Macaca fascicularis: one gene and its partners. The protein of the gene in region 3 purifies or fractionates together with the protein of the main gene of each other region. This does not show direct contact. Links are inferred from orthologs where the notes say so. Each region holds a gene or a part of one and is shown on either strand. Other genes may lie near its edges. The genes, in order: VAPA, VAPB and OSBPL9.

Region 1 (2,814 bases), on a different chromosome or scaffold from region 3:
ATTTTTCATAAAGAAAATTCCACAGGCTTGCTCAGTATTACCAAACTTCCATAATGAACATTATTTTGAGTGCCAAATTGGGCAGGAAAAAACACCTACTTTTAACTATTATGAAATATTATGGAAAGTAGTAAGACTTACTAGGCTGGTTAAAAAGTACTTTAAAACCAAGGAGAGTTAAATCTTCCTTGAGAACATACTCTCAGAACTTAAGAATGGGGTAAAAATCAGATGGAGCACAGCCATGCTGTACACGTCAACTCACTGAAATCACATAACTTCTATTCTCATGGACCTTATTTTCCGTTATCTTGAAAACAAACTGGTTATAATCTCCCAAAATACCAGCAGTACCTCAAAATTTAATCAACTCCTTTCCTGAACAGAATTAGGACTTTCAATTAAAAACACTGTAATATCCGAGAGGGTTTCAATGCAAGACAAACCTTTGCATCATAATTTCAAGTGACCATATATAGTGGACTCCCCTCCAATAACACGACAGACACAGACAAGCTATCGAGCAAGAATCTGTTAACAGTTTTATTTTTTTTATGTTAAATACCATGGGACAGGATTGTAAGGATGAAAAACTCAGTCAACAACTGCCTCACAAGGGATAAGAAAAATTCTGCCATGATATTAGCAAAGGTAAAGGAGGAAAAATTTACACTGTAAGAGGCACCATTTCCCCAAGGAATACCTCTTGGCATTTCCTGAATGAGTGGGATTAGCAATCTAAATAAATCATATTTCAAGAGGTAACAGCAACAGATAAAATTTAAAGGGATTATTAAAATAACATTTACAAGACTCTGAACAATTCTTGAACTCTTATTAAAACCACAAAGAAAGAACAATTCTTTATTTATGAATTTCATAAAGGACTGAATGTGCAACTGACATCTGCTAGTGATGATCGGTACTATACAATTTGTCCAGGAGCCGAACAGTTTGTTTTTATTGGGTTTTCTAACCGTGAGAGATCATTAAAGGCAAAGCCTATATGACGCTGTACACACAAAAAAATGGTCACCGCGGGCCGTACTACCAGTGAAATGGTAGGTAAACAAATCTTTTTCTGGTCAAGAGAAAAAAAAAAGAAATAGCACTCTGCATGCTTCACTCTACAAGATGAATTTCCCTAGAAAGAATCCAATGAAAATGGCTGCAATTACAACAAGAAGTGAAGGAAGAGGACTGGTGACATTATCTCTGAAGGATGCAGTTGAGGTTGATCCAGGTTTATCCGAATGTGCTACCTTTCTGAGCCTTAAACCTTCATCCTAGGAAAAAAACAAACACACAAAAGAGGTTTTTAAAAACAAGCATACTAATGAGACTACTGGAGCTAAAAATCTATAGGGACGGAAAGTAGATTAGTGGTTGCCTATGGCTGGGGACAGAAACAGGGATTAACTGCTAACCACATAAGGAAACTTTCCGGGGGTGATGGACATTCTAAAACTGAACTACAGTGACAGTTATAAAGTTCTGTATTTCAGTGAACTGTACACTCACAGTGGGTGTCTCCATGGGATATAAATTATACCTCAATAACACTGATTTTTTAAAACTGGAGCTGAGAAATGTATTCCTAAAAAATAAAAGTCAGATATGGCTATATTTACCTTTTATTTTAATCCCACTAAAAACATAATTAAAGAAGAGTACTTCCAAGGCGGCCCATGGTATTTAAAATCAGTTACATCTGTCCTAGCCCAGTCAAAAACTACCGGACCCGTGGTCTGCCAGTTGGGTTGACTGACCCACTGCAACTAAGGAACCGAAACAGCAGAGCCACAAGAGGGTATTCTTGCCAAAAACACAGATACGGTTGTCACAGAATTTGGGGGGAAGGAAACGGTTTAGCGTGAAATTTAAGTAACAGTGTTTTCACAAGCTCAAAGCAAAGCAGAGGGCTGTGTGTAAAGGGATAGCACCAGGTCTGGACTGCAAAGCAGAGAAAGAATACTGTTTCTTCAGGAACTACAAATTTAGATGAGAAATGTATGTAGGAAACCCTTATCTGAAGCTCTGCACCTGGAATGGAAACTGAGGGTGCTTCTCTGTGTCAAAACGACAGATCCTCCAGTCAAGAGTGGGCTGCTTCATCCTTGCTGATATGGCTTCACACAGCACTATGTCCTTAGAGGACAAGGTTTCTCAGAAGAAAGCAGAAGTCACTCCAGGCAGGAGGTTGTTACGACACTGTGTGCAATGTGAACCTTGGGAAAAATACTACTACCTGTTAACTATGCAGTTGTCTTTATCTGTGTCTGTTACCTCCCATGATTGTTTTATTGTGCTTATAAATAAACACTAACTAAAAGAGTACACCTAATGGCACAGTTTTATTTGCATTACTGGATTTTCTGGAGTTGGGTTTTTTTGGTCTCATGCTAATTAGTTCTATATAAAAACAGTAGTAATTCTCGGTTTCAGCTACACATCACAAACATCTACAGAACTTTTGATACTCCTGTGATTCTGATTCATTAGGTCTTGGGAAGGCCTGGTAAACTGTAACTTTTTAAAGCTCACTAGGTGATTCACATGCAGTGTGAATTAAGAACCATAGGGCTAGGGGAATTAAAACGGATAGTGAACAGACAGGAGCAAGAAAGTTAACATGGCAAAAAATTATGATGGGCCTGTGTATAAAATGCTAAAGGGTCTGAAATTCTGTAAGCCAGTGGGTCTCCAAGGTTTTTGTTTTATTTTTTTTGTTTTTTTGAGATTTGCTCTTATTGCCCAGGCTGGAGTGCAACAGTGTGATCTCGCTCACTGCAACCTCTGCCTCCCAGGTTCAAG
Region 2 (3,687 bases), on a different chromosome or scaffold from region 3:
CAATTTAAACGGTAATCATGATGTAGAGTATCCATTTTTGAGGTCAAGCAGATCTGGATTCTCCAGCAATTTTTAATTATTTAACTTACTTGTGTGGTTATTTATTCAAAATGTCTCTTCACTAGGCTACAGTAAAAGGATTGGAATCAGGTTAGCTTTTCTGATCATTGTATTTCTAAATATTTATTGCATAAACAAATCGAATTTACTAGTAAAAATTCAGCACAGTGCCAGTTGCCTAATAAACATTTAACGTAGAGTAGCTTGTATTTATTGTAGCTGCTGTTGTCATTGGAAGCATTCAGCAGAGTGATACGAAATAAGCAATAATTGGTAGTTTATTATATTTATAATTATTATTTACAAGACGTCACAGTGCTTAGCCCATATCACTCACCCATAAACATCATGTTTATACTAAGTACTTTGACTATTATTCAAAGTCTCTAACAGTGCCTGGCACTACATAAGCAAGAGAAAAGTGGAAGTTTATTCTAATTGTTGTTACTGAATAAAGCATTTAACACGAGGCTGGCCCCCAGCGGACCCTTAATAGTTTTCGCGGCTGCAGTCGTAGCCGGACTACAAACCCCGCCTCCTGAGCAGCGCGAAGCCCCGCCCCTTGCTGCCCTGCAGTTCCGCCCCCGTGGCTTGTACCGCGCCTGCGCACTGTCCCGGGTGGGGCTCCACGCGCGCAGCTTTAGTCCCCGCCCCTGGAGCTGGCGGCGCAGGGCGCAGCTTCCCGCCGCCCGAGCGGGCCAGCCTGCTGCGTGCGTGCGTGTGTACGCCTGTGCGTGCGTGCGTGCGTGCGTGCGTGCGTGCGTGCCGTCAGCTCGCCGGGCACCGCGGCCTCGCCCTCGCCCTCCGCCCCTGAGCCTGCACCGCGTAGAACGACCCCCCCCAGCGCGCGCACCCCGTCGAAGACCCTCACCCGTGCCCCGACTGGTCCCCCCTTTTTTGTAAAACTTAAAGCGGGCGCGGCATTAACGCTTCCCGCCCCGGTGACCTCTCAGGGGTCTCCCCGCCAAAGGTGCTCCGCCGCTGAGGAACATGGCGAAGGTGGAGCAGGTCCTGAGCCTCGAGCCGCAGCACGAGCTCAAGTTCCGAGGTAAGCCCCAGAGGCCGCCACCTTCATGCTTGCGGCCCCCGCCCCAGTGCTGGAGGGACGGAGTCCGGCGCGGCGGGTGACGTCGGCCCTCGTCCCCACCCCGACGGCGCTGTCGTGGGGGCCGGCGAGGCCGGGCCGGGCCTTGGCGCTCAGCGCGCGCCCCAGAAATGCGCGGAGCGGCCGGGACCCTAGAGGACTGGTGCAGGAGCTAGGGCCTGTGCCTCCTCCCCGACCCCCAGCCTCCTGGGACTTGCCTTCGAGGCACTTGTCACTTTGCCTTGTAACTTAGTGACCAGTTTGTGATCACTTTAGTGTGAACCTCCGCCGCTGCTGTTGCCTGGAAGGTTCTTCCCCTGCTCTGTGACAGTGTTGACCTCAGGGTTTAGTTGAGGTATCACCTGCCCAGAGAGGCCTGCTGTGGCCACCCAGCCCACCGTGCACACCTGCTCTCCTGCTGTCCCCATTCTGTCACTGTTTCGTGGTCAGCACCGCACTTTTCGTACTCAAAATCACTGTTTCAACACTAGAAAGGAAACTGCATGAGGACAGGCTCTTGTCAGTTTGCTGCTGTGTACCCAGCACACATTAGACGCCTAGGAAATACCTGTTGAACCAACAAATGAACCTCCTCAGGCCTTCTGATGGGATTGGTCCCATTTTCCGTTCACTGCCTCCCTCATGGTGCCTCCTGGATGCAGCTGAGGGAGGCTGCCAAGGTGCTGGGATCCTTTTGCTCCGCAGAGCTGCCTGGAGCAACACCTGCGGTGGTGGGAAACCATGACCCTGGTTTCTCCCAGACACTATTATCTCTGTAATTTGTGCCTTTATGTTTTCTATGTTGTTCTTTTTTTTTTTTTTTTTTTTCCTACCTTCACCAGGGCCACGAGGTAAAAGGTCTGACATGCTCATTCCTTCTTTTTGCTTGTATCCAGTGATGTGGAAGGCACTAGGGAGGTGATGGATGAACAAGACAGACAAGGCCTCTGCTCTCAGAGAGCTTAGCTTCCGACGAGAACAGACAAACCAGCACACAACATCGTTACAGATACGTGGAAGGCCCTGGGGAGGTGATGGATGAACAAGACAGACAAGGCCTCTGTTCTCATAGAGCTTACCTTCCGACGAGGACAGGCAAACCAGCACACGTGATCTTTGCAGATAGTGCTAAGTGCTGTGTAGGAAATGGAACAGTTTGACTCCATGGAAGTTTACTGTAGATTGGAAGGTCAGGTCTCCACTATATCGCTAGCAGCGGGCTCACAGTAGATGTTCAGCTGGTATTAATGAATGGCCAGAGGTTCTCCAGTTTATATGTCTTATTGGGAAGTAGTGTAGGGTAACTTATGCAAAGTTACCCAGTTGGCAAGTGGTACATTTGAACCCAGACTTCAGAGTTCACGCTGTTAACCGTTATGCTGTCTGATCGCTGGGAAATACTCCAGAACGGTGGCTGTCACTTTGCCTTCCAAGTTAACAATGTGAAATAACTCTGAATTTACAGAGAACCAAAGGCTTTCCAATTAAAATGAAAAAAAACAAAAAAACCCCACCAAACCTACCGGGGATCGAAATTCCAGGATAGTACTTGAGGTTTCATGATGCGCTCATGGCTTTCTGGGAACGCCAGATTGGAAAAGGAGGCCAGGTGGCTAAAGTGGTGAGCCATGGTTTCCACTTGAGTTGTCTGAAGTTCTTTTTCTGTCTGGGAGGCCTGGCTTGGCTTCTCCTGAGAATTGGTGGGTTCATTCGGTTAGTCCACAAACATTTACTGAGTACCTGATCTGTGTGTCAGATACCCGGAGAAGCCAAGTCATATCAGCTGTACTCTCCCATTTTCCCTCAACCTCCTCCCAGTACTTTAGGGAAGGGGACAGATGAGAACAACAGCCAGGACAGGACAATGATGTAGGGTAGTTCAGAGTGCCCCAGGAGCATTGAGGAGGTCAGCTCCTGAAGGAGGTGTCATTTGAGCTCAGTTATAAAGGTTGAGTAGAAGAAGGCTCAAAGAAGGAAAGGGTGAGAACATTTCAGACAGAGGAAATTGCATGCACAGAGGCACAAACACTGAGATGACTGGGCTCCTTTGGGATGCCCAGTAGTTCTTTTTTTTCTTTTTTCTTTTTTTTTTTTTTGAGATGCAGGTCTTACTCTGTCACCCAGGCTAGAGTGCAGAGACGCGCTGTCTCACTGCAACCCCCGCCTCCCAAGTTCAAGCGATTCTCCTGCCTCAGCCTCTTGAGTAGCTGGGATTATATACAGGCGTGTGCCTCTACGCCTGGCTAAAAATGTATTTTCAGTAGAGACGGGGTTTCACCATGTTGGCCAGTTTGGTGTCAGACTCCAGACCGCAAGTGATCTGCCCTCCTTGACCTCTCAAAGTGGTGGGATTACAGGCGTGAGCCACTGTGCCCAGCCACCACTAGTAGTTGTGAATGACAGCAACAAAGAAAATTTGTTGTGGTTGCCCGGCAAGATGGCAGACAAGGCTGGTGAGTAGACAAGAGTCAGACCTCAGTCCCTTTATGCATAGATGCAGCCAGTGTCCAAGTTAAAATTGTGTTGCTTCTCCTTGAGCAGTC
Region 3 (3,752 bases):
TGGCTCACTGCTCCACGCACACTGACCTCCTTGCTGATCCCTCAAGATGCCACGCTCACTCCTAAAATCTGGTCTTTGCATTTGCTATTCCTTCGTCTTGGAAGGCTCTTCCACCAGGCTCCCTCCTTCACTTTCTTCAGCTCTTTGCTTAAAAGTTACCTTTTCATTCAGGCCTTCCCTTCCTTTAAATTTGGGAATTTAAAATAGCAGCCCCAACGCTCTCTCCTCCCTTGATTATGTTTTTCTCCATAGCATTTATGATTTTTTTTTTTTTTTTTTTTTTTGAGACGGAGTCTCACGCTGTTGCCCAGGCTGGAGTGCAGTGGCGCGATCTCGGCTCACTGCAAGCTCCGCCTCCCGGGTTCCCGCCATTCTCCTGCCTCAGCCTTCTGAGTAGCTGGGACTACAGGCGCCCGCCACCGCGCCCGGCTAATTTTTTGTATTTTTAGTAGAGACGGGGTTTCACTGTGGTCTCGATCTCCTGACCTTGTGATCCGCCCGCCTCGGCCTCCCAAAGTGCTGGGATTACAGGCTTGAGCCACCGCGCCCGGCCTTTTTTTTTTTTTTTTTTTTGAGACGGAGTCTCGCTCTGCCGCCCAGGCTGGAGTGCAGTGGCCGGATCTCAGCTCACTGCAAGCTCCGCCTCCCAGGTTCAGGCCATTCTCCTGACTCAGCCTCCCGAGTAGCTGGGACTACATATGATTTTTTAATGTATGATATAATTTACTATTTATTTTACCATTCCCCTCACCTGTCATGAAGGCTCTGTTGTATCCCCAATGCCTAGAAGAATGCCTAGCACAAAATAGCGAATATTTATTAAATGAATGAATTTGTGGAATGAATGCATAAATGAATATCAGATATGAAATCTTTTGGAAGTGGAAGGTATCATGGCCAGTAAAATTATTTATTAATATGTTCATAATCTTTTTTCTTTAATCCCATGATAGATTGTAAATAATCTTAATAGCAGTATTCGCGTTTGCATTCTCGCATCCCTGGCAATGGAGTCCTACACACAATAGGCGCCCAAAGAAAGCATGTTTGACTTGATCGCTGGGAGCATCCGCCGGCACCGCCCAGGACCCGCCCCGAACCCGCCCCGCCCCCTGTAGCCCCGCCCCCCGCATGCTGAATGCCATATAGGCGAGTGACGTCAGGCCGTTTGTTGTCATTGGCGGCTCCCAAGATGGCGTCCATCATGGAAGGGCCGCTGAGCAAATGGACTAACGTGATGAAGGGCTGGCAGTACCGTTGGTTCGTGCTGGACTACAATGCAGGACTGCTTTCCTACTACACGGTGAGTCCTTGGAGGGCACAGCTCCAGGCGCCTCGGGGCCGCGTTTCCTGGGTGGAGGTGGGGAACCGGGGTTTTAGGTGGCTGAGTTGAGATTGCTAGTCTGGGGGTGCCGCCGTACGAGAGGGTTCCCTTGTTGGGGAGGGTTCTACGTCTCGGATAGCCAATGAGGGTGAGGGAGAGAGGGGCGCAGCCAATAAATAGAAACTAGCTGTCTGATTTATGGGTTGGGGGTGAGCCAAGTTTCTTTCTTAGGGTCCGCTGTTAAGCGATAGTGGGGTGCGGCATGGTTGTGAGTGGGTAAGGGTGGTCGTAGTCATGGCTTAAAAGGTCCAGTCGTGCGGTTCATGCCGTCTTCATATGTTGTCGTGGACTTGACACTGTCCCACCAGGCCCGGTAGCCGGCCGCACCCCTTAGCTTCCCTCCAGGGATTGAAGCGCTCTGCGTCTTCGGAAGAGTGACCGGAGGAGCCGGGACAGGTCCAAAGGTGACCAGCTCTCGGGCAACACCAGGGGGTCCGAAATCCCTCCAGTCGGTTCAGGTTGTGTGTCTCATTCAAGGGACGCACCCCTCTATTTAGCGGGAGGCGAGCTCAAACGACGCCTTAACTTTTGAGAGCAGAGGATTTCCTACACGCGAGTCTCTTGTCAGCGAAGAGAGACAAGGGATAGTGCAGTGTCCTCTTATAGTTATATTCTGGGTTCAGGGCTTCACTGTTAACATGAGTTGGTGGCTATGGACAAGTAGATGAATTGCTATGAATCTTATGTGGTTTTTTGTTTTGCTTTGTGTGTGTGTGTGTGGTTTTTTGTTTTTGAGACGGAGTCTCGCCCTGTCGCCCAGGCTGGCGTGCAGTGGCATAATCTCAGCTCGCTGCAACCTCTGCCTCCCGGGTTCAAGCGATTCTCCTGCCTCTGCCTCCCGAGTAGCTGGGATCACAGGCATGCGCCACCACACCCAGCTAATTCTTGTATTTTTAGTAGAGACGGGGTTTCACCATGTTGGCCAGGCTGGTCTTGAATTTCTGACCTCAGGTGTTCCGCCCGCCTCGGCCTCCCAAAGTGCTGCCGGACGTGAGCCACCGCGTGCGGCCTTGAATCTTATGTTTTGACTATCCCCTCCACCCTCATCGCATTCGATATGGAGGGTGGGTGGTATTAGGGAGGTAACTTACTTAGAAAGGTACTTTCTCCGAATGGTGTATAGTTAACGATAGCTGATATGAGGGAAGAAAATACTTAAAAGGACAAAATAGAATGCCCAGAAAGCTTTAGAAAATAATAGAAGACAGAAAGAAAAACATATGATTATGGAAGAAGGGTTAATGTTGATGAGAGAAAGGGGACACTGAATTTATTTGTTCATTTAAAAAATATCATTGAGCTGCTATGTACGTTTTCATGCCAGCAAGAATCAACAGTAATAAAGACATTTACTGTTCCTCTTCTCTGGAGCTTATATAGTAGCTTAGTGAGTCCTTTAATTCATTTCACTCCTAATGACTCTGCAAGGTGGTTATTCATTATCTCCATTTAATATCCCCAGTAAGAGTTTTGAAAAATGAGGCTCCAGGCTTTTAAAGCAATTTGCCCAACATCACATAGTACTAAGTGATGGAATCAGGATACCAAATTATTGACTTTTTCTACTAAACTTCACTTTCACTACAGGAAGGAGAAAGGTGTAAGTTGTGAGTTACTAAAGGCAAGCTTGCAAAAGTGAAAGTATTACTTTCATCATCCTTCAACTGTCAGCTTTCTTTCTTTACATAGTTTTTAAAGGGAAAAAAAGACTAAACCTTAATGAGTCTTAAACACATTGTTGAAGATTGTCTTTAGGTAGGCATGAAAGAGAGGCAACTGAATATTATATCCTGAAAACTCTGGAATTAATGAAAGCCATGGCTTAGATAAAGGAAAAGTAATAATGGGGTTTCAGTAGATGTGATAATCAGAAAATCCCATAAACTCTATTCAAGATAGAGTGATTTCAGTGAGTGGCACTATGCAGTTAAGTTACTTTACAAATCCCAAATTTGTGTGGATCTGAATCTAGGACCATACTGGAGAGGCCCCCAAGCTGAGGTTCTTGGGAATGCCTAGCCCAGAAAGAATCTTCCTTTTTCCTCTTTTTCTTCCTTTCATGTATCCTTTTTCTGCTTTATTGCCCTTTTAGTTTTTGAATACTTGGACAAATATCTCCTTTCTTACTGGCTAAATATAGGGTTTTAAAAAAATACTTTTTTTCCCCCTCAATACTTACCCTTCTTTTTGAGACTAGATTCCCTAAAACATTATCCTTGCCAGAGAAAGGAAGTATCGTATTTCTCACTAATGACTGTTTAGAATTTTTTTTTCTTTTCTAGTTCTTTGATATTAAAGTATTTGCTTACAGAGAAACAACAGAGAATTGTACCATCTTGTGAAAATAAAATGATAGCCAATCTCAAAT

The links.
Region 1: the proteins of OSBPL9 (region 3) and VAPA purify together in Homo sapiens (co-immunoprecipitation; 5 studies listed by BioGRID and IntAct, counting the BioPlex papers as one, with this or other methods). This does not show direct contact. The link is inferred for Macaca fascicularis from reciprocal best matches to the Homo sapiens genes OSBPL9 and VAPA.
Region 2: the proteins of OSBPL9 (region 3) and VAPB purify together in Homo sapiens (affinity purification with mass spectrometry; 7 studies listed by BioGRID and IntAct, counting the BioPlex papers as one, with this or other methods). This does not show direct contact. The link is inferred for Macaca fascicularis from reciprocal best matches to the Homo sapiens genes OSBPL9 and VAPB.

Annotation. Positions count from the first base shown.
Region 1 is NC_088392.1:78,301,684-78,304,497, reverse strand, and holds the end of VAPA (vesicle-associated membrane protein-associated protein A), read right to left. Parts: intron 1,287-2,814; coding exon 1,128-1,286; 3' UTR 518-1,127; downstream 1-517. UniProt on the Homo sapiens protein: Endoplasmic reticulum (ER)-anchored protein that mediates the formation of contact sites between the ER and endosomes via interaction with FFAT motif-containing proteins such as STARD3 or WDR44.
Region 2 is NC_088384.1:114,456,646-114,460,332, forward strand, and holds the start of VAPB (vesicle-associated membrane protein-associated protein B/C), read left to right. Parts: upstream 1-818; 5' UTR 819-1,050; coding exon 1,051-1,108; intron 1,109-3,687. UniProt on the Homo sapiens protein: Endoplasmic reticulum (ER)-anchored protein that mediates the formation of contact sites between the ER and endosomes via interaction with FFAT motif-containing proteins such as STARD3 or WDR44.
Region 3 is NC_088375.1:183,120,471-183,124,222, reverse strand, and holds the start of OSBPL9 (oxysterol-binding protein-related protein 9), read left to right. Parts: upstream 1-1,114; 5' UTR 1,115-1,138; coding exon 1,139-1,303; intron 1,304-3,752. UniProt on the Homo sapiens protein: Interacts with OSBPL11 to function as lipid transfer proteins.